Drosophila melanogaster: one gene and its partners. The protein of the gene in region 1 interacts with the protein of each later gene in a pairwise test. Each region holds a gene or a part of one and is shown in the gene's direction. Other genes may lie near its edges.

What was found.
Region 2: the proteins of by (region 1) and CAP interact in a two-hybrid assay, tested with the Drosophila melanogaster proteins (one large-scale study listed by BioGRID).
Region 3: the proteins of by (region 1) and Sox15 interact in a two-hybrid assay, tested with the Drosophila melanogaster proteins (one large-scale study listed by BioGRID).

What each region holds. Positions count from the first base shown.
Region 1 is NT_033777.3:9,526,651-9,536,452, reverse strand, and holds by (blistery), read left to right. Parts: upstream 1-3,441; 5' UTR 3,442-3,468; coding exon 3,469-5,631; 3' UTR 5,632-5,713; exon of another isoform or gene 5,714-7,494; 3' UTR 7,495-8,215; downstream 8,216-9,802.
Region 2 is NT_033778.4:10,276,233-10,283,555, forward strand, and holds the start of CAP (CAP), read left to right. Parts: upstream 1-2,503; 5' UTR 2,504-3,108; coding exon 3,109-7,323.
Region 3 is NT_033778.4:14,207,036-14,214,386, reverse strand, and holds the start of Sox15 (Sox box protein 15), read left to right. Parts: upstream 1-1,973; 5' UTR 1,974-3,046; coding exon 3,047-3,099; intron 3,100-7,351.

The sequences.
Region 1 (9,802 bases):
TATATATAGAATATATTATATACATGAATTGAATACCTTTTATACGTGCACTGACATAATTACTTACGAGTATGAGTATATGTAAAAAAAATTCAATCAACCAAGCTAAGCGGAAAAGAAACATTATTTAATCTTATTATTTTGATCCAGTTTCGATACTTTCACGCTTTTCAGTTCGTTATATAGCCTCCGTCTATCCTGAACTAACGCACTAATACTACGTGTTTCCATCGAATAGTTTTTTTCCAACTCTCTTCGGGTTTTTTATTTTCCAGACTATTAACAAAAATCAAAAGCTTATCATAAAAATATATTTATAGTAACAAAACAAAAAAAAAAAAAAAACCAAGAAAAACACAAACAAAAAAAATTATAAAGTTTTGCTGTGATGTACGTTATATATATTTAATTACATAAAATGCAATAAAATTTAAAACATATAATGCATAATTCCAAATTATTACAACAACAACAAATAAATGAAAATATGAAAGAAGAATGATTATGAAATACAAAAACATTTTATGCATGAGAATTTCTCCAAAAAAACAAAAAAAGTAAAAAAAAAACAATATGTACGACATACTATAACATCTACACTTGTCTAGAATTTATGCAATTTTAAATGTGACTATTATTTTACATTTTTGTAGACAAGAACCGAGACACTCTTCTAGTAATTGTAAATCAGTTAACCATAGTATTAAACAAACGTTTTTCAGTGGCATTGTAACGGTGAGCGGGCGTTTTTAATGTTAATTGCATTAATTTCTATTTTCGGTTTTGTATTAACTCGCAAAATTTCAATAAAATTCAATGAACGTCAATAAAAAAAGTTATGTGTTTTTTTCCTTTGGTGCTTGAAAAACTAAAGCATTACGACCAATTATTTGGAACACAATAATTTGTGCATGTGCTAAATTATCAGCATCTGGAAGTTTCAGAACAATATTGGCCAGTATATTGCCAAACAAGTTTTAGAACAAAGCCAAAAATAAGACGCAAACTTCTGACAGGAAATGACACAACCCACATAGTTATAAATATATTTCAATGTTATTAAACAAAGGTAATGAATAATTCAACTTTAACTGAATGAGATCACAGATCTATATAGTTCACCAAGCCCATTCATGCGAGTGTAAGCCACATTACATGTACGCATTCGATCCAAAAGTTCGTTTCCGAGCCTTGGAAAGGATCCCCTTGAGATGCATATGACAGTCCAATCTCCAAACTTGATTAAGCGTTGGAAACTTTCGAGTGGGAAGCGAAACGACCACTTGATGCGGACATTCGCATCAATTGAATCGAATGCGTATGTTGCACACCCGAAAACCACACTCAAACTATCAGTAATAGTCCATGCGATAGCTTTCCATCGTTTTGGCCAAAATTAGATGGCCAGATGGGCCCGCAATCCCCGGTTGTCACAGCATATGGCTCTGATTGACATTACCGAAATTCCACATGACTTTGTTTCAACAGATTTGCGGCAGAAAGAGTTAACAACAACAGATGTTCGCAGCGAAAAGCTGCAAGACAAAAAGCGAAAAAAAAAATACGAAAAAGGTAAACGAGTTGCCAACTAGGGACGCAACTAAGGCCAACGAAAGAGAGCGGCGACAGGTCACCGGAGAGCGAAAGAGAGGCGGTGGGGTCTGCCCCACGCGAGTGAGCAAGCGAGAGAGCAACTTGTTTATTTGCCACCCACAACTGGCTGCTGAAAGAACAACAACAACAACAGCCATGGCAAGGAGCAGATGAAGAAGAAGATCACCTCTGCTGGCATTGACAGAGGATTTGTGCAGTTATTTCTCATACTTTATTTTTTTAAGCGCATATTTTCGCTGAATTTGATTTGTTTTCTTTATGCCATGTTGCTGTTGCTCCACTGACGTCACTTAACTGTTGGGGTTTCAATTATAATGCCTTAGCCATTGTTGTTATATTCGTTGTTGTTGTTTCGTTTGCCCACCACGACACTTTCTACAAGAAAATGTTGAGAAATCAAAAAAAGATGCGACAGCTTCTTCTCTATGGGTTCCACTGAAAGAAAAATGTAAATGGTGGAAAACATACTTCAGTTTCCACAGTAAGAGTAATAACTAATTAGGGTTTTCTAGAATAATCATCAAAATACATAAGTCTGAAAGACATTTAAATTGTTTACTGTAGTCTCTTATTAAATTTACCAATATTTTTTTCAAGTGTACGTTTGTGGCCTCTCGCTTGATGGTGTATGTGTAATAGCCACAAAAGTTCATTGGGAAAGTGCAACCTGAACCTGCTGGAACACAAGACCGCAATTGATTGATAAAGAAAACCCCATTTAAGTGGCATAAACAAAGTTCGTTTGTTTCACTCAGCGGAAAGCAAATGAAGCTCATTTAAAGAAAAATAGGCAATTTAATTGATGAAAACGCCAAGAATTCAATGGAAGAACGTGCCCGAAGTTACAGTGGGTGCCATCGGCGAATTACCATTTCAAAAAGCCCCCCAATTGAGGTTTCTTGTTACGTGAGAGAGACGGAGAGAGGTGTCCAAGAGGGAGCGATCTTCCACAGCTGTTATCAATTGCACTCCAATAGGATCGCTTCACACGTTGGTCTCCAATTGGGACTGCAATGTGCGGGTTCTTTGATCAAAATTCGCGTCCAACGTGCACGGATCGAACTTTACGGGGCTCCTAATCTGTATAGGCTTCGATTGCTTGTTTTGATTAGTTCGTGCGTTTGGCTGGGGCTCTCCTTCGTGTGTATTCGTCAATAAGTGGGGATGACATCACCGACGCTCCACTCTCTTCGACTCGCGTTCTCCACATCGCATCTCTCTCCCTGTCTCCGCTATGTGCACTCTCTCATGGAACGATCTCTCTTGGCATCCAACACCTTTTGGCGTGTACTTGTGAGCATTGGAGGCACAGTGGGCGTGGGATTATTAAATAAATACCCGATGACAGTTCTATTTATAAAGCTGTTCTTTCACTTTCGCAATATCTCTGGATTTGGTTGATACAGTTTTTGGTGTCACCAAAAATCGAAATTTACAAGTAACCAATATTGCAATTTTGTGAAATATATTGATAATGTAGTTTTAATACTTGTTATAAATGATTACAATTACTGTAAAGTTTTTTTCTATCGTACGATCGAACAAGGTCAAATGTTGCTCATACGCACTTTTGCCACAAATCTGTCAAAAATATTACCCATACGCCAGGTTGGTCGCACTATTAAAAGTTCATAATTAGAAATGTTTACCTAAAAGATGGGTTGACGAGGGCCTAGCCCACTGTGCCCACTCATGGCGAACCAGAAACTGACTTGAGGAGGTTGACTTGCTGCTTGACTTGCCACGCGAGAGAGAGGTAGAGAGAGAGAGCGGAACGCCAACGCCGACTCTACGGTTTGAGTTGTATCTTCTCGACCTTTTTTTTTGAATCAGTCTTTTGGAATTCGCGAAACAATGCGGACGCCGTACGAAGAAAGCGCTGCTGCCGCCGACCACAAATATCAATACCAATACACCGCGGCCAATAATAACAATAATTACTATAAAAACTATAATGTGAATGGCAATGGGCAGGCGAATGGAAATGGGAATCTAAGTGGAATTGGTAATGGAAATGGAATTGGAAACGGCAATGGATATGGAATACCTTATCACGCGCGCGAGAACTCGCTGCCATTTAGCTATGGCATAGCCAAAACTTCGACACCGTTGCGAAAAACTCCGACACCGACGCGAGTGGATAGTTTTCTAGACTTTGATTTCGGGCCAACGAATACGAATGTGAATTCGAATAGTTCTAGCAATAATGGCGGTACTGGCGATATGATAAAGCCACCAACACGTCTAACGAGCCCTTTGCTGGTGCGCAAAACGCTGGGCAATGCCGTTAGTCCCACCAGTTCGACCAATACCAACACCATAGCCAATACATACCACTACACGTCGAGCAGCGCAACGCCGACGCCGGTGAGAGATAATTTCGAGCAGCTGCTGCGGGAGCGACGCGAAAAGGTCTACAATGAATATAGGAATCTGGATAGGGAGTCGTCCGGGGAGCGGGCCAGAGTGGCACCCGCTCCGCCGCAGAGGCAATACTACCCGAGCGATGGCTATGGAATTGGGCTGAAGAACGATAGCAATGGAACCCTATACCGCAAGAGCCCCTCGTCTAATGGGAAATCAACGAAATACAACTACGATTTTGAGTTCAATCTGAATCTGGATGATGTTAGGCCCGAACCTACACCGTATACCACGAGGAATATTCACTTCGAGGATCTGCGGCTGGATCAGGATGTGCCAGATGGCGTGGTCAATCGGCGGACCATGGAACGCAATTATCACACAATTAACAGCTTGGAAACGACCCACAAACGCCAGCAGTTGGAGCCGTTGGAGCAACTGGGCGCCGTTTATGGCCAGAACCACATGGAGGAGACACTCACGCGCACTCGTCGCGATCTCTCCGCATCCACATCGACATCCAAGTCCACCTCGCCATTGCCGGCAATAGGAGTACCAGCTATAGCACCAGCTTCGCCCATTTATGCCACCAGTACGAAGAGAGTGAGCAACCCAAATACCAATGGCCAACAGCAGATGACGCCTAGTCCCACCAGTAGGCCAGAAACGCCCGCCTTTCCGGTCACGCCGCGCACGCCTTTTGGGGCATCATCATCATCATCTGCGTCTCTGGCGCCGACGACCCAGTTGCCCCCAGAGTCGATCTACCAAACAGGGCCACGTCGTGGCGTACCGCCTGCACTGCAGCCACTCGAGGTGTCCGCCGATTCCGTACAATTTGCCCGTAGTTCGTCCCAGTTCTGGTACAAACCAAATCTCACTCGCGAAGATGCCATCGCTCTGCTGGCCTCTGCCCAGCCGGGCACGTTCCTGGTCAGGGACTCCACCACGTACAAGGATTCCTATGGCCTGGTGGTGCGGGTGTCCCAACCGCCTCCCGGTTCACAGGAGCTGGTGCGTCACTTCCTCATCGAGCCCACGAAGGGGGGAGTGCATCTGAAGGGCTGCGATGACGAGCCGGTGTTCACTTCACTGTCCGCCCTCGTCTTCGAGCATTCCATAAGCCAGCTGGCGTTGCCATGTCTCCTCCGTCTGCCCGATCGGGATATAGTACCACCGGTGCGGGCCACAACCCCTGCCCAGCAGCATCTATTGGCCCACGGAGCAGCCACCAATGTGCTGTGGCTCTACTCCTGCGACACGGAATCGCTGACAGGAAACGAGGCCATCCGCAAGGCCATCCGCCAGATGTACGGTCAGCAACCCTTGCCGCAGCCCACGGAGGTGCACTTCAAGGTCTCCTCGCAGGGCATCACGCTCACGGACAATACGCGCAAGAAGTTCTTCCGGAAGCACTACAAGGCGGATGTTATCTCGCACTGTGCCATCGATCCGGAGAACAGGATGTGGACCAGTGAGGGCGAGTCTGACAAGAAGACCATCTTCGCCTTCGTGGCCAGGAGGTCGCACAGCTCCACGGACAACCAGTGCCATGTGTTCTGCGACCTGTCCGTCAGCCAGCCGGCGGCGGCGATTGTCTCGTTCGCCAATCGGACACTGCCCACCGAAAAGCTGCGCAACTACGTCCTGTAGGAGGGAGGGGGCGTGGCACGGGTCAACAGGTCAGCAGGCTGGATTCCACTTCCATCCGTGGAGTGGAATGGCGCACAAGCAGGTGAGACGCATGACGGGTGCAGTTTTGTTATGGGTCGTAAATTAGAGTACATTTTGGGTGCGGTTCGGCCTTGGGAGGCGAAATTGACAATTACAGTAGTCCTTCGAGAGGGTGAGCTTAGTCGCGAAATTTAAAACAAACAAATATTCTTTAGACTCCAAATTTCAAATTCTATATTCATTTTTCTAAAGGTCAAACAAAATTGGTCGTAAAAACGTTTTAAAAAGTACTTTCTAGAAACGATTTCTTTCCGGCATTTGTTTGTTTTAAGCATCGTATTTGTATTTGTCTGAAACAAATTGTTTCTCCGTGGTTTGGTTGAGACATTCTTATTTTTAGAGACTTTCCCTTGTTGTTTGTTTTAAAATAGATATTAGTTGTGCTTGCGGAACAATAATTTTGGCTATATCTCACTGCCCTTTTTCAAATTTTTGTGGGCCTCAAGCAATGTCCAGAGAAACTTTCAATATTTGCCTTGCCAAGCTGTCACTGTATCATCATCGTTCTGCGCTACAAATGGGAAACCTATTAAAAACGCTTCACTTTCTGGGGCCCTTCCGTTCGCCTGGGTTCGTCTTCAAATTGTTTACTTTACATAACGCCCTGGCTGTTTGTTTGTTTGTTTAGCGGTTTCCATATACTGCCGTAGCACACATATAGATATATATAGCTATATGTACATACATACATACGAATCCAAGAGCGCCATGTAGAAGCATTTGGCTAACATATCTTCTGGCTACACGTTTTTCGCAACGGAAGTTTCTGTCATGAGTCAGTTGCCTATAAATGATTGAGTTTCGAATTTAGAATCGAACAGAATCAAAGACATCCAACACATGCACATCCATTGCAGGGTCGCCACGTTCTGGAGGAGTGGCACCAGCCCAATTTTGGTATTTCTTTCGATTTGATTAATTCCCCCTGCTTCGTTCACGGTCATGTGCTGAGGTCGCCAGATAAGGCCATAGCGCTTAACTGTGCATTGCCATGCTATGGAGGCAACTTTTCATTAGTTGGCATTTGTGTATATATTCGCTATCAGGCCGCCAGGTGATCCACTATGCTATAATAATAGCGTCGAACAGTTGGCTGCAAATTGTGGGGCCTAAAATAAGATCTGCCCACAGAAGATATAGAGTTTATAGTTATTGCTGTTCTGCCCTGTTCAGCTTGGTTCTGTTGTTTATTTAGCTCTAAAGATACATCGTTTTTTGAATCACTTGATAAGAGCGAGAGACTCGTTGTTGATCTTGCTGGGAATTATTCTCCAACGATCGTTCGATTCCACCTTGAATTTTTTCGGAATTTTTTCACTTGAGCCTTAAAGCGGAATATGCAAATAAACAGACGGCAATAGAAATCGGTTTTCGGTCTCAATATAGCGCAAAAGTTGAAATAAATTCAGGCGAACCGAACCGGCGGGCGTCAATTGCGCATTTTAGAAAAACCGCATGCCGAACACTCAAAACATAATTCCAGGCACGTTTGCGTTTATTTTTTTCAATTATTCCACTACCGACGACGAGGTTCAGTAAAAAGTTACTGTAAATAAAACGGGAGGTTTAAAAATGGTCTAAAAGAGATTTAATATTTAAAAGAGCACTCCAACTTTTCATCAGACCCCCATTGTTTGCTCGATCAAATGATCTATTTGATCCGCAATTAAGCAATTATCCACGAGCGTGTACAATATAGATACAACCATATGTAGATACGATTGGTGGGGATTGGAATTTACGAACTTGTTTAAATCGGATTTCTTCTTTCATCTCTTGCAGGCCAGTGGAATCGGAATCATGCGGAATTATGCGGAGGAGGAGCCCAGTGCTGCAAGATGTACTAACTAATCACTTTACGAAATTGTGTCTTGCGATATAATGAGCTTAACTGCGAATATGTTAACAGGAATGATGTCAGCCGTAGTTTATTTAGACACGCACACACTCAGAAGTCGGCGATATTTATGGCGAAGCTAAAACATATGTACACATGGGTACTATCAACTTGAATTGACTAAATGCACAGTGGGACAAGTGGATGGCCGAGTTCGATAAGATTGGTAACTATTGGAAACGCCACTGATTCATATTTGTTTATATGCCCAAGTTGTAAACAAAGCCATGAAGATTGTGTTAAAATTTTTGGAAATTCCAACTGGCATTTCAAGGAATCTCGTACCACTGTGCTGGGTGGCGAATTGAAACTGATCACCGAAAGTTGACTGTTTATTAGCAAAAACAGTATGGATGTGTATATATGGGCGAGTTGTGTGTTTTTATATAGGGTGCGCTTGTCAGACAAACGGAATTAAACTAATCTACCACATAATTTTAAACCGATTAATGTTAGTTTAGAAAGTTGTTAAATAAAACCCAAAAGTACAAGCCAGAGAGCTTGTTCCCTAATTTATACCAGTAATATCTATATAAATATATGTATGTATATGCTTAAGCACTACTAATGCAGTCAATATAAATAAAGTGCAATGTTGTTAAACAGATTAGAAACCTTTTATTAATCTAACTCCTTAAACTGACTTGCGAAAAGCTCAGCGCCCAGCATCTGTTAATAATTTGTTATCTAACTAAAAATACAGCAGCGACTGCGTTCTAGATTTCAGGGCTGTTAATTTTATATATCAACAGACATCAGTGTTGTTGGGTCGGTTGGGTTGCTTTTGTTAAACAATTAATGGGTTCTGTACCCGCGGGCAATGGCAATATACAATATGCATTTGTATGAACACAATTGTTTAGTAATTTAATCTTATCGTTCGCCAGCGTCGGCGATCTCTATACGCTCAGCTAACCATAGGAAGTGTAAAGTATTTTTTGTACTCCTCCTGTCAGTCACCCTTGCATCCATTGGATTCGCATATTGCCGGAGATTCCAACAGATTCAAGATATAGGTAGTCTCCTGCCTCCTAATGGACGAGTGCAATTTGTGTTTTTTTTGTATTTTAAAAGGCAGCCCACCAGTCAAGTGTGCCAAGTGAAATGAAAACGCGTCCGTCGACTCGACCTTGAGATCAATTTGTGGCGGCGGCATGACGTCATCGCCTTTCGATGGTAGCACAACGACAGCTGCCCCACGATTTTAAAAACATTTCTTACAGAAATTTACAAATTAAATTTTAGGCTAATGCTCCCCAGCGAGATCTGTGCACCCACATTTTAATGATTTTGATTTCAGCATTTCATTTCATTTAATTTCTTGTTCTATTTTCAACGGCCTGCTAATTTCCTATATGTACATATGTATGTATTTATGTGTTCGCCTTGCCAGGCGCCCCAAAGAGACCGAAACCAGTTTGTCATGTTCTTTGCCTAAATTCGATAATTAATTGATCGCCGGAGAAACGAGAGTCGCTGAAAACGACGACAAACTCCGGTTGCATGAGCACCGCCCCGAGGTGTCGCCTTATCCAGACCAGATGATGCCCGGTGACGAAAGCAATATCCATCGAGATTCCAAGAGCCAAGACGCAGTGCAGGTTTTGTATCTTACATTTAATACATTTGGATTTGGTTGTGTGTACAAAAGTGAACATAAAATTAACGTTCGGTGTGTTGTTTTTAGATATCTACATAGCTACATACAATATCGTTCGTTTACATCATATTCAGTTAAACATAATAAATACACTTTAATAATATATACTCGCATACGTATATATATAACAAATAATACATCCAGATTTTGCAGGCCCGCATTTCGGACCTCCCGCAGGCAGATTCAACATTTCGCGTGAAAAACAGAATTTTGTGTGTACAAAAATACATAATAGGTCCCACTTTCGATTTCGTTTGGATCTAAACTGTTGGAATGCGAATTGATAGAATTTCCAGTTTCCTCAATCTTGTCGTGCTTCGATCTGTGGAAATCTTAAAGTTTGTCAATTTCATTCCGCATTGTGATGTCCATTTCGAAATCAAGAAAGGGGGGTATAATAAAAAGCTCAGAGAAAACTATGTAGGCTCCTCTATTCGTGTGCCTAATTCAATATGGTTTGGGTGTATATGTGGTTGTCTCATATTTAAGATTAGTTACAAAAATTTCTCTAGTTTTTCACGAGCCTATTGCCA
Region 2 (7,323 bases), on another chromosome or scaffold:
CGACGATTTGCAATTAATTGGGAATTAAATTGTAAGGACGTGACGTCAGAGCGGGTTCGATGTTCTTGTGGGGCGATTCATAAACTCATTTACTAAGCACATTGTTTGTGTTAATACGCTACGTGTGCGTGTGTGCGTGTGTATCTGTGTGTTTGTTGTGTAAAAGGCAAACAAACAATAAGTAGGAGGAGAGCGGAAAACAGACATGTGCTCAGCTCGTTATGGGAGAACAAAACGCTCGGCGCTGCCCAAATAAATAAGCAAAGCGTAAACATGACAGCACCGAGACTCTCAAAAATCTATGCTAATTAGCAGCAATAACAACAAAGAAAGAAGAGTGTATCTATGTAGCCGAGAGAATGTATCTCGAACCCATACCCATACGCAAATACCCCCAACATCATAAGTGCAAAGCCAACAAATCGGCAGGCAGCCAAACACTCGGAATACAAATAATCACAAAATGTGAATGTTCAGTGAATGGGAAGTGTGGCTAAAAGCAAACATTCGAAAGATCACAGTAAACGGAAAAGTTGGAGAGAAAATCTTTGAAAGTCACTCCAAGTCATAATGTAATTATACCAATTCAAAATAAATAATTAGATTAGTTGAAAACACTAGAAATCACTTGCTTTGAAACTTTACGACAAAGATAGAGATCGCTTCAACTCTATGCTCTAGATATCCCTTAAATTTATATCTCAATCCGCTTTATTGTTTTATCTAAGGGAAGATAAAAACTCTGTAAAGAAATTCCCAAGCGAGAAATGAATCACAGATCTTCTGCCAAGCGCATTTGTCGAATCAAATCTTCATGAAAGGCTTCTTTTGATGACCCCTCTATCCATCTTTAGATATCACAGTTCAATCTTTAGTAATTTCCCAAGAAGTTATCTTGCTAGCTGCATTTGATTCCACAAAAACCACTTTCATTGAAAGCAAAACTTTTCGCACACAACTCACGTTCTTTATCAAAAATGCAAAATTTATCAGCGATAGCCCAGAAAAGATAACTAAAATGTGTGCTGTTCTACAGCAAATTGGGCGAGGCGTAGAAATCAATTTCAAATTTGTTGATATTACGGGGCAAGAAAACTGAAAATAGAAGCCGCTACAATGGATCCACAGATATAGATAGCGGCTACTTGGATGTTCGTCGTACGTCAGTGATTCAGGCAACTTGGTGGGGCCCAAACGAAATCCAAACGGAAACCGAAACCAATTGAGAATACACATTAAGTGAGTGGGTTTCTGAGGAGGGGAAAGCGATCGTTTAGTATTCCCTAATTGGTATACCCGTGTCTGTCACACTGTGCAGAAATTGCATAATGCCCGGGCCAAAACCACCACATCACGTGTCTGGTTCGTCTGGCACCTGACAGACCCGCGAAGATACTTCAGTTCGGATTGGTTCTGGTCGGAGGAAGTTAATGGAGATGATGGGGCTGTGGGCCAGACAGAACAAGAGAAATTGAAAGCCATTAAGTACCTTTAAAAATAAAAGCGGAATACTACTAACCGCATGGCCCACTGGGATGATACATGGGAGAGCTATACATACATATATGCGCGTGGATATATGTTGCTTCAATTATTCAAGAGTACACCGAAAACAGAGACTTGTGACCACAAAAAGCAAAGAAATTACGCACGAAAAATATCTTTAAAATGCCATAAGTTGTATATAGATACACAGCCAGCGCAGACTCATCAGATACACAAGCACACACATCGGCCAGAAGATACATATAAGCAAACTCGAACTGTGGCAAACTATTTCCGTATTGAGTTCTCTTCTTAATGCCCTGCATTGAGCCATTTTGGGTATATTGCACGAAAGTTTTTTAGATCAACCACTTAAAAAATTAAACAATTTAAGTGGTTGGAAAACGGTTTATCTGATTTCATTTGACCTCTAAATTCTTTATTTTCTCTTAATGTCTTACATCTTTCATTCCTGAGCATTTATCAACCGAAATTCAAGACAAAAATGTGTTTGTGACATTTAAAAAAATTTATTTTCGAAAGCATATATTCGTTAGCTTAAATTCCACAAACAAATTATGTACGTGTTCCAAAAACATTTTCTAATATTTATGAATGTGCCGAATATATTTTCGAGCCGTGCGTTTCTTTTCTGCTCATCTCGGATTTTATGAGTTTGTTTGGCTTGTGAAAATTGCATTGACCTAGAAGTCATATTGTTGTTTTTTTTTTCGGTCTCTTTGGTATTTTGATGTCTTTGGAATACCCTGCATTCTGATTCTGATTCTGTTTTGGTTTTGCACATTTCTCTCCCGCTCTCCCGTACGACTTTCTGTTTTCTACGTACATGTATGTATTGTGAACATGAGCATCGTTATGAATTCCCCGATTTTCCTTTTTGTGTGTATATTTTCAAATACTTGCCACTGTGCATCCGAATCGGGCTGTCTGTAAAAATGTGTGTGAGTGGGAGACTGGGGAGCTAGCTCCCGGCTGAGATCGTGGAAAGCCCACGGCCCATTCCTTGTCCGTCGGTCGCCAGCGCCACGAGGAACGGGAAGCGCGATCTTAAAAAATATTTAAAAAACTTTTCACCCCGTGTCCCCGTTGCTCAAATCGAACATACCCCCAAAACGAGAGCGAAAGTTTAGTATTCAAAACGCAATTTAATTTGGCGAAAAAATATCGAGGCAATCGGAGACAAAGGCGCGATCTCGGCGGCGAAAAATAAACCTAAAAACATAACGATTTCGGACGCGTGCCAGGCGGTGGGCGGTGGGCGGGGCGGCGTAGACGCCGGCAGCGGCAGCGACGTCGCTGTTTTATTTTTTTATTTTCTTTTTTTTTTCGATTTTGCCGGCTGTCGTCGCGAGCAGAATGCCGCCGGCTCTCGGTTCTGGTTCTCAGTTCAGTTCTGTTTGAGTTTCTGGCGACGAGTGACACACACAGAGGGAACTAGAAATAAACGACACCGAAAAACGAAACAACACTTAGTTGTACTGTAGATTCTGGCTGATTAAGAAACACGAAACACGAAGTACTCACTTACACACAAAAACACATATATATCTCACACACAAGGAAAACTGCATTAGTTCAGATCGAGCGAAAGTGCCGTAGACGATGCCCAATAACCGCAATCGTAATCGCAATCGCAATCGCAACAAACGCAATCGAAACCAAAATCAAAATCAGAATCCGAGCCAAAACCAAAACGAAAACCATCAGCAGCAGGCAGAAGGGGCGGAGGATCGGGAGGAGCAGCAGGATTTCCAAACTCAGATCGCAGTAGCGCAATCTTCTTCCTTCGTAGATGATAATGGAAATTCTGGCAGCGTTTCAAATGGGCCAACGGAAAACAGCGAAGAGGTGACGAACACTCTTGAGAAAACCGAAAAAAAAGAAGAAATATTCGAGCAACCAGCAACAGTCATCCAAAAAGAAGCAGATTCAGACGCAGAAATGGGTGCCAAAAACTCAAAACATCGCAAGGAAAAGTCCGATAAGCAGGCGTCTAATGGAAAATCTGAAGAGCAGGTGCGTCCACCTCCCACCATTATAAGAAGGCCACCCGGTAGCCCCCGGCAAGCCAAGGTCATAGTTCATCGAATTGTGAGGGAAGAGGACACGGCCAATGGCAAAGCTCAATCTCCAGAGCCACCCAAAGCCGTGGAATCTAAGGAGCAGCACATGGAGGTCGAGGATTCAAAGAAGGAGAAACCTGAAGCTCAGCAGGAGATTGAAACTAAGGAAGAACGGGAAAATGAACCGAGTCCAAAGGAACTTCCTGAATCTAGTCATCTTTCGGAGGACGCACAGCAGAAACATGTCGAAGTTGAAGAGAATCAACAAGTTTATGATGAAGTGGACTACTCAAAGGATGAGACCACTGACAATAATCCACAGCAAGAGCAACACGATTCAAAGGAACCGGAGCAATATGTGTTGCAACTCGAAAAGGCAATGGAATTTGTGGAAAATGCACATCAGCAACACGTTGCTGCCGTGCAAAGTTATCAAAAACAGAGAGACACTGAGCAAAATGCACAGCAGCAGGAGCAAAATGAAGCACAGCACCTACAGGAATCAACTAAAGCGCATCAGCAAAATATTGCAGTTCCACAAATCCTTGTAGATCCGAAGAAGAGAGAAGAGGGCCTCGCACAGCAACTGCATCATGATGTGAAAGAGGAACCCATTTTGAATAACGCCCAACAGCAAAATGATGACACTGCACCGAAATCCCCAAAGGAAGTAACAATAAAAGTTCAGTTTCAAACAGAAGATCCTTATTCCCAGCAGCCTCCTCCACAGAAGCCCACCTCCAAGGTGATTATCCACCAGATACACGTGGAAACCACCGACGAAGAGCAAAATGCCAAGCCCACTTTCGAGGAGGTTAGCAGCACTACCGGTTCTCTGGCCGGAACCCTATCTCCACCACCTCGTTATTTGGTGGAGTCGCCGAAGAACGTGTCAAGTGGCCAGTTTTCGAACTTCTCGCGCAATGTGCAAATCCAGGAAATGGAACTGAACAGCGACTTCAGCTCCGGGGAATTCAATTCCCTGCAGTCGCCGCTGGTATGCGAAGTAGACTCGGAATCAGAGGGATCGGTAGTCTTGGGACCGGAGCGATCGCCGTCGGATCAGCAGGTGCCGTCCAGCAGCCGAGTAGAGCAGCATGAGCAGGTGCGCCAGAAACGTGCCCAGTATCGGAACGCTTTGGAATCGCACTTCATGCCGCAGTTGCTCAATCCCCGCTATCTGGACAGCATCCTGGAGGAGAATGAATGGAGAAACTCCACCGCCTCCTCTGGCGGAAGCGATCAGACGGGGATCCGCACTCCCAAGCTAAACGAGACCTTTCCCAGGAGTCAGTTGGACTTTAGTCGCAGACACAAGCGTAGGGAGGAGGCACCGTCGCCTCTTAAGCTCGAAACCAAGCTGCTGGAGGAGTCAACCGATCTGGAGAGCTGCACCCGACTGCAGAGCGCCCTGTCTCCACAGTCTGAAGATGCGGAGCTAGTTTACCTAAGCTCCTCGGCCTCCAGCAGCGTCTCTGACCTCATGGAACTAGAACTAGAGCAGGCTGCCGCCTTGGCGGAGAGAGCCCTCGTAGACTTGGATACGGATGCCAGTCGGTTGATTGCTCGGCCGGATGATGAGATGAGCAGCACTAGTACCACTACTGCAGACAGGAGCGAGACGGAAGCGGAAACGGAAACGGAGACGGAGAGAGAGGGCGAGCAGAGTCGCGAGAGCACACCTGTTAACGCCAACCCGACGCTCGCCAGTTCGCAGTCTTCGCTGCTGAGCGCCGCAACGCCGACGCCGACGCCGACGCCCACTCCCGCCGATCGAGAACAATTAGCAAAAGATACAAATGTATCTGGTGGATCGACTGTTAGTTTCGGGGCAGCATCGCCGCTAGCGGCCACGCGCGAGGAGTTCGTTCGCAATATGGACAAAGTGCGCGAGTTGATCGAGATGACGCGGCGCGAACAGGAGCAAGGTGAACTACCGCGATCGCCGTCGCCGCCGCCCGTTCCCCCACCTCCCGCTTCCGTGCCACCCTACAGTCCCGAGTCTTCCTCGTTCCACCTAGCTTCCTTGCAGCTGAAGCGGCAGGAGTCGAACGACTCCCACTGCTCTGACAGCACCACCCACAGCCAATGCACGGCCATCAACCTGGCCAGTCCCCCACCGCCACCCACTGCTCAGCCACCTACACCGCCACTCAGACAAAAGCCTGCACCACCACCCGTACCGCAACCCGTATCACCACCCGCACCACCCACTCCCCAATCAGAGCCAGAGCTTTCAGTTGCAGATTCGGTTGCGAATGCAAATGCGGATGTAGATGCAGATGCCGACACTGATACGGAAGCAATAAAGAAGCTGCGCCTGCTGTGCACCGAGCAGTTGGCTTCCATGCCCTATGGCGAACAGGTGCTCGAGGAGTTAGCCAGTGTGGCCCAGAATATAAGCGACCAATCCCAGAACAAGATGCCCTATCCCATGCCCCAATTGCCGCACATCAAGGAGCTGCAGTTAAACGCCAATGAGAGCAAGTCCTCCTCCGCCTGGCTGGGTCTGCCGACCCAGTCCGATCCCAAGCTATTGGTCTGCCTGTCGCCCGGACAGAGAGATTTGGTAAATAACCAAACCCAACCGGATGACCTGCTCGATGCTCACCAGAAGTTCGTGGAGCGTCGGGGATACCATGAGTTGTCCAAGGCCCAGGTTCTCGAGCAAGACCACCAGCAGCAGCAGAGTGAGATGCTCAAGACGGCGGCCATGATGCGCGAGTTGCGCAAGAGCCTCTCGCCCCCAGCGCCTCCTGTCCCTCCGCCGCCGGTACCGGTGAAGAGCGCCGAAACGGCGGCCAAGGCGACCGCTCACGAAAACGCCAAGAGAGATGACGCAAGCGAACAAAAGCAGAAGATCGCAGCATGCGAATCGTCATCGCTTGAAAATAAACCAAGGCGAGCAGCTGATCTTGGTGCTCAGCAGTCGGCAGAGCAACGCCAGAGCAGCAGCACCACCACCTCCAGCCATAAAGCGACCACAGAGACCATGTCCAGTGACACCGCCAAGTTTCCCACGCTGGACAGCATGGAGAGTGAGTTGGCCAGGATGTTCCCCCAGCACAAGGGCGACATTTTCGAGGAGCAGCGCAAGCGCTTCTCCAACATTGAGTTCCCCAGCCACCAGCCCGTCAGTCAAACTAAGCGGTACTCCAATATCGAGACGAGCAGTTACGAGTCCAAGAAGCGAATGGAAAATGGTCAGGTAGTCTACGATGTGAGCACTTCAAGTCACGAGAAGAAGGAACAGGGTGATCCACCCAAGGACCAGCCCGTACCACCCGTTCCCCCGCCGCCAATTATGTCAGCAACGAAATTAAACGGTAACACTTTCATTGATGGAGACGTGGCGCCCAAAAATAGCCAGCCGTCGCGAGAGAGCGGTAGCGGCAGCGGCAACGGTACGTATGAGGAATTTCGGCAGCGTGCCAAGGCCGCCGCGGATGCTTTTGGAGAGCAGCGGGAGCAGCAAAACGGGCTGGATCAAGACCGCGTGTTCAAGGACTTCGATAGGCTATCGCAGCAGATGCACGCCGAGCTGCAAAGCACTCGGGAAAAGCGGGAGAAGTCCGCTTCCATGTACGATCTCAGTGGCTTCACCCGACCCGCGAGTGGTCATCCGAGACTAGATGAGCTGCAGCAGAGAAGACATGCCCACATGCAGGAGTTGGAGAGGGAAATAGAGCGGTCGGCAAAGTCGCGACAGGAGCGAATGTCCTCGGTACCGCGACAAATGGAGGCCACACCACCG
Region 3 (7,351 bases), on another chromosome or scaffold:
GATGTCGATGGAGCGGCTATTTGCACATACGCCACGCCAATAAACTTGTACCCACCACCGAGGCACGCTTTGATCCGATCCTCATTCGCAATCTTTACCCCGCTTCCCATTCCTGTTCTCTCGGCCTTTAGTCTTTGGTCTTTGGGGTTTCAGACTTCAGTGCTCGGTCGCCAGTCTTCAGTCTCCAGTCTCCAGCCTTCTCGATCGGCACACGCTTGCGCTGCAGTTGCTCCCCCCCTTTTGGGATTTTCTTTCTTTTGGTCTGACCGATGCTCCGATGGTCGGAGGAACCTTTTGGCCGCTGCCCGATCCCCCGCCCCGCACCTGTGCACATGCATAAATCGACGAATCCACGACCACGAATCCGCGAAGACTTGGGCCTCGCATCGCCGGCGGCAATTATCGCGATGTGATAAACAAATATTTTGCATCTATGGCAAGAGGAAGCGAAGGCTTTCCCGGCATTCTGGCGCTTAATTATGAACTCCGGCTGGGCTTGGGGATGGAGGTAGCCCCATCCGAGTACGAGTTTATTATTATTAAATGCCCTGCGCGTGGCCGCATGCACTTTTACCTGCCAACGTACTTGACTCGTCTTCTGGGAGGTTCGTCGCTTTTCTACCTCCTCATCTTCATCTCGATTTTTTTGTGCCTTTGATTTTTTTTATTTTTTGGGCTTGGCTGTGCGGTTCGCTGGCAGCAGTTGTTGCAATATGCAATTTGGCTGCTTATCTCCAGTTGGATACCAATCAGCTTGGCCCCAAAAACTTTGGTGGGTGGAGAGTGAAATAAAAATTAAATATGGCTCTATTTGAATATTACAGCCGCTTTCAAGGCATTGGGCTCACTGGGCGGATACTTAATGGACAGTAAGATGGTATTAAGATAAGCATTTTCAACTGTGATCTATTCCATGATATATATTTTATTAAATATATAAGAACTTTGTTTTAATGTTAAGAGAGTTGGTATAGTTACTATTGAGTTGCTGATCAGAGAATGTATTAGTTTTTGTGTAGATTTATGAATATTGTATCTATGAGCTACTTTTTGATTTACATTCTGTTAAAATCTATTTGATAGTGAACAAGATAGTATGACTTACTACTAACAAATTGTTTTGTAAGTTTAAACTCTTTACAAACTGCCTGAAAATCCCTTTCATTCCCATTTAGTCACCTTTTGATTAATGACTTTCGTTGCTTTCCATTTGCTTAGAGATTGCCAATTTAAACATTTGCGAATCTTTCGCAAAATCTCTCTCTTTCTGAAAGACGGTGCCCCATTTGATCCAAATAACACCCTTTTCCCAGAGGTTCCGAACATTACGATATTTGCATACGCTGGCTTCCGTGTATGGGTGCTATCCCCCCATCCGCTAGTATATGCATGTGCACATACAGACGTACGGTTGTGTATATATGGACCCCAACGACATTGGGGGCCTCCACCAATTGAAACAAACCAAATGCAAAGTTGTCTCTCCCACAACAAACGGATCTCGGGGAACAGGTTTTACATTTCTGAAAGTGAGACCGAGAGATCGCGAGAGTCCGAAACAAAACGAAACGAACCGAACGAACGAACGAATGAATATTAAACAAGCTCTGTGTTTCATTAGATTCAAAAGAACTCGCCGCTGCTCTCGGTTCGGAGGCTATGGGTAAAGTATACTTGTCTATGGTACGGCATAGTCTGGGAGACAGGGCCAAGTCACCTGGGCTCGGACCAGAGCCACTTGCTCGTTCCGCATCGATGAACAGCTGCTGCTGCTGCCGCTGCCGCCACTCTCTGGCTGTTTCGATTCAAGACTGCGCGAAAGGTTCAGCTTATGGCTTTTCGCTTTTTGGCCTTATGCACGGGCTCTGAAGGCAGAGACACCTCAGTTCGGTTCACAATCTCCCAGCTCCCCAGCTGCCAGCCGCCAGCTCACAGTTCCCCCAGTTCGCGAGAGCGTCGATCGGTCGTCGAGTTCAGTTGGCCTGCGGTTCGTCATCAGCGTGGTTCATGCGGCTCCGACTTTCAGTTCGCCTTTAACTCTGACTCAAGCCCTGGCATCGGCGGAACTCGGTAGTGACTCTGGTGGCTCTCCATTGACATCGCCATCTGCGTCCCCGGGCTGTAATCATAAATATATATATATCTACATACAAACTGGCCCGCTGTACATAGGCCCAGTTAGTTAGTTTGTTAGTTAGTTAGTTAGTTACTTGCTTAGTAGTTGCTGTTGTGCCGTGAATTTTCATTTTCCCAAGAGCGCTATCCGCTGTTTGTATCTTGTGAAATGTCGAAGCCCTTGATTTTAGGCTACGGATACGTTCGTTAGTCAACCTTTAAACAGCTCGCTTTAGGGCCAAAAACTAATGAACAAGTGATTTTAAAGAACGTAGATCAATACCGGTAAAACTATGTAAAAAGTGACACAATCTGTTTAATAAAAAGTTTACATCGTTCCGGTGTTGAAAAGTATCTTTTCAACACCAAGTGCCAATCGAAAATCCAAATTTGAAGTGTGTATTTTTCAATATCTTCAAAATAATCACCAGTGAATAGTGAGATTCAAAAATATATTTACATCACTCGGTGATTGCGAAATTGTGGCCAAAATGTGGGTTAGGCTCTGAGCCACAAACAAAACAAAATCTGACAACAAATGGACGCAAATTCACACATGCCGTGGCACATAAATTTATGGTTGGAACTGTAACTGGGCAAAAATGCTCGGCCCGGCAGACATCAGTAGCAGTAGTAGTGGCACCACCATCACCACCAGCGAACCACCAACCGCCACCACCCACCAATCCACCCGAACCGCCGACAAAGGGAAAAACTAACGGAATAATGCAACATTAAGCAAAATGCTGCTGGCCCTGCTAAAGCAAAGCCAACAACAACAACAACAACACCAATTTCAACCTGCCACCACCGACGTCAGCAACAGCAAAAACAACAGCAACAACTACAACAACAGAAGCAACAACTGCAACTGCAACAACATCAACGTCACCGTCACCGTTACCACGAACATCGCCGTTGCCGTATAAAAATGGAACCCTCATATGATCACGAACATCCACATCATCTGCTAACAAATTACAAGTAATATTTACATTTTTCCCATGCTAAAATTTTTTTCTCGCTGTTTAATTATATCCAACCGAAGCGAAGATACATATCTTCAAGATAATAACCATAATGAAAAATGGAAAAGGCGCTCGTGTAGTGGTGAAGAAATTCTCTAGATCGTACATATATATATATATACAATAAATATGTATATACTTATATATATGGGGGCCCATGACTGCGACTTTTCAAGACTTAGTCACAATCACAGATACTAAGATACTAAGATACAAAGATACTAGCGGCGGGCACGACAGCGAGAAACACCGTCGGGGATGTCGAATGCACACTGTGGCAGTAAGCTACAACTATAAAGCACGGTTATATATGTATAAATATATATATATGGGGGTTATACAGTATATAGTATCTGGGAATTTGCTTAGATTTTCCTTGGTGTGGCCCCAGTTTTCAGACCCCGCAGCACTTGCACTTGTATTCGTATCCGCTTCTCGATTCTCTCCGTTTCCCTCGGCAAACGTAAACGTAAACGTAAATATGTAAATGGTCGACTGCGAATAACTTAAGAACCGTCTTCGGACGCGACTCGAAATTGGTCAAGTGGAAAGTAAACCAAGACGCCGGAGAAGTCGGCGGGGGTGGAGACCCTGGGAAAAAGCAGAGGCCAAGAACGCACAGGCGACGCACCGAGAAGAAGTCTTAACATTTGGTATATTTCGGCCAGAGGTCAGGCCATTATAAAGATTTGTATCCGATCTACACAGCTTGATAGATACGCATGAGGTTTTAATATCCATATATAAGTATATGACTGTATATAAGTATTTCCCCTTTATACGTATTAGCTAGCCATTTCAGCTGACTGACTTTCGTAGTTTCCGACGGGAAATTCCCGTCTACAAATTGGCTGGAATTATGAATGGAAATGAAGCCATGAAATTAAATTAAGTACAGATGAAAAGCTCTGATAAGTCCGCACACACTTTTCGTAAGAAATTCGAAACCGAAAATCACAATTAAGAATGTCTCATGGGCGAAAGCCTGTCGCATTTTTCGTCACATTTTCCAAATCTTCCTGCTTGGGATTGGCTCATCACGGGACGGGGCATTTCATTTCATTCAGTTTGATCTTTTATGGCTGCCCCATAAATCAAGTCAAGGCTGCGATCTACCTAAAGTTTGCTAACTTCGTTTTCAATCTAAATAGTTTTCAATATCAAATAAAATTCTATGGCCAATAAACAACCATCTGTATATGTGGATTTCCAATCAATGTTTGAAAATTAATTAAGGCTTTACCGTGACTAAGCTGGATTGGAAATGCATATATCCAATTGAAATTTACTTATTTCCTTTAGAACTTGTTTTTGATTGTCCGCCTTTTACACATTTCCCGGATACTAAAAGTGAATAGTATTTAAGAATTAATGTTTGCTTGATCATTTCTGGACTTTCCCTACTGCAACCAGGAACTTAAGTTTTCATTGACGTAAAAGGAGATTCCAATGGTTGTAACTTCTTGGAAGAGAGAGATAAATCTTTCGAAATGTTTATAAATCGTGTTTGGACAGCTTAATCGCCTAATTGTATTGATGAATCTGAAGAGTACACTCCTATTTTAAAATGAAATCCTATTTTAACTTGATATAACAGAATTTAATGTATTACAACTACATGCCATTCACGGCAATCAAACTATTATATTATGTGAGCAAAAATCCCTTTCCATTCAACAAAAAATCATATAAGAATTTCTTTAGGAATTTAAATATTCAATATCATCAAAAACAATACTGAATACTTTGTCAGATTTCTAGTGAAACCTTAGATGCGTGCTTAGTAACTGTAATATTGAAGTGGAAAAATAAAAACATTTACCATTAAACAGGATAATAGAGGAGATCGCCAAAGTGGTTAGACATATCCGATTCGACGTAACATCAATGATATGTCATGATTGGCATTAAACTTGGCAGATTACCAAGGAAATTAAATTATTGCTCATTCAACATTTCCCGAATGGCAGAAAAGTGATTTTCGGTACTTTCACTGTAGATTTAAAAACCTGATAAATACTTTTGGTCGATTTAAAAATACATGAGAAAAAATCCAAATCTAACTTGCCGTTTTAAACGCTTATAATTTGTTAACAAAATATTTATATAAAACGTTTTGCAATTATACTAAACTGACCTAAAGTTGGACTTCGCATTTTTAAAATTTCTTTAAAATTGTTTTATGGTTGTAGGATAATTTAAAAAAATGTAAAAGAATACAAATTTATTCACTAACATATACATAACAGAAGATCACAAAAAGCTTAATACACGGGAATACACCCGAAACTAAAACTAAAACTGATTTTAAAAGATATTCCTGCCCGCAAAATCGAACTTACTTCACATGAGCCACATAAATGTTTTCTGAGTAATTAATTTTAATAGCACTAATTAGTGGTCTAATAACATTTAAGGCAGTCAACACCCTGTAAAACGTCAACCCTAAAAAAAAATATAAGGGTTGGAACCTTTGAAAACACCCTGATTTAAGTCCGGTTAGTTGTTTTCGAATCCAGCCAACTAGCTAAGTACGGATCCTCCACATGCAATTACTCTACTTAGTGGTACGAGCATGCAGCACTGCCTCCATTTCCATGCAATCCATATAATTTAGTACCCCTCCACCTGCGAGGGTGTATACGTATAAGTATCTGTATGTGTATCTGTATCTGAGCACGTACATGTATCTGTTGGCTGCGTGTGCTGGTGTGCGTGCTAAAATCCATTAAATTTTTGTATCTTTTTTATGCTCCTAAAATCGCTTGTGTGAGAACTGGGTCTTCGTTGTTTCTTCGGCATGGCATGGGGGTGGGTGGTGCCTCAAGAAGTGGGGCTGGGGGGATCCACAGCGACGACAGCCGCAATAAACCTCATTAGCCGAACGAAAGCAGCAGCTTCGGCAACGTTCGGCCCTCGAAGATGGATGGTGATGATGATGATGACGCTACTCTCTTCGCTTGCTTCATTAGTTTAATTAGGTATGCCCAGGCCAGGTCACACATACATACACACATATATCGCCTCTATATAGAAGGCACAGGTATGGAGGTACCTATACCTTATAGCCCAATCCATTGTGCGTACCGATCTCATTCCCATTCGCAGCGAGGCAGGTAGCTCACCTTCATGTTCATGTTCATTAAAGCTAAGATGGCGGCTCTTTAGGCCCGGATGCTGGGATGTTTATGCTTATTGGTCAACAGCATCTACATGCGGCCATACAGATATATGCATATACGTACGATTATATAGGCGGCCATGCATATGTATGCGTAAATGGCCGATCCGATCGACCGACCGACCGACCGACAACTCATCGCGGCCCGCTGAAAGACCGGGCCTGCGTCGTTAAGTTATTCAAGTACATCACACCTGGGCCGCAGCTCCAGCTCCACAAGTTTATCCATGCTGGCATACACCAGCGCCCCTACCTATGCCCCAACCTCCAACTGGAACTGGGCCCAAGTCGTGCCAAGTCGTTTGGGCCAAACTCGTTTTCTTGGCCTGCGCTGAGCTCCACTGTGCACTGTGCTGTGCTGGGCCTCTGGAAATCTGTTTTGTATGCGGGGCGCCTGCAGCCGCAGCAGGCAGCCAATAGACTGCAAATGGAGCAAATGGAGAGCCACGGCAGATGCCTCTTCGCCAGGCGCTGTGGCCACACCCACCTCCAGGTCCCACCAGCCACCTCCTACTCCGCCACTTTATCCAGATTCAGCCTCGCCAGTCGAGCCGAGCCGGCTTTGACTGTGGCCGAAAACCAAAATGGCTTTTATTACCTTGCCGCACCGCTTGCATTTCTCCACAGGCTGCCAGGCTGCAAAACTGGCCCAATACGAGATCGCAGTTGAGGCGCCAAATGATTTGCCATTCTAGGCATGCATCTCTTTGGTGGGCAAATCTCGGATGCCTAACTATGCAATCGAGCATTAGATTGGATTCTAAGCGGAGCTCGCAATCAGATCTACATAAATTATATATCAAGGTTGTTCATTACCATTTTGCTGGGCAGAAGCTTTCTAAAATGTATATGAAGCTAATCGGATTACCAATGGGATTTATCTCAATTGGAACGCTGGCACTAGAGCCTAATCATGCATAATTGAAATTGGTATATAATTAAATTTAATAGGAAAATAACCATTTCCAACATGTTAATCTTATGGATAACTAGATCAGATTAGAAAGCGCAGTAATTAGAACTCACT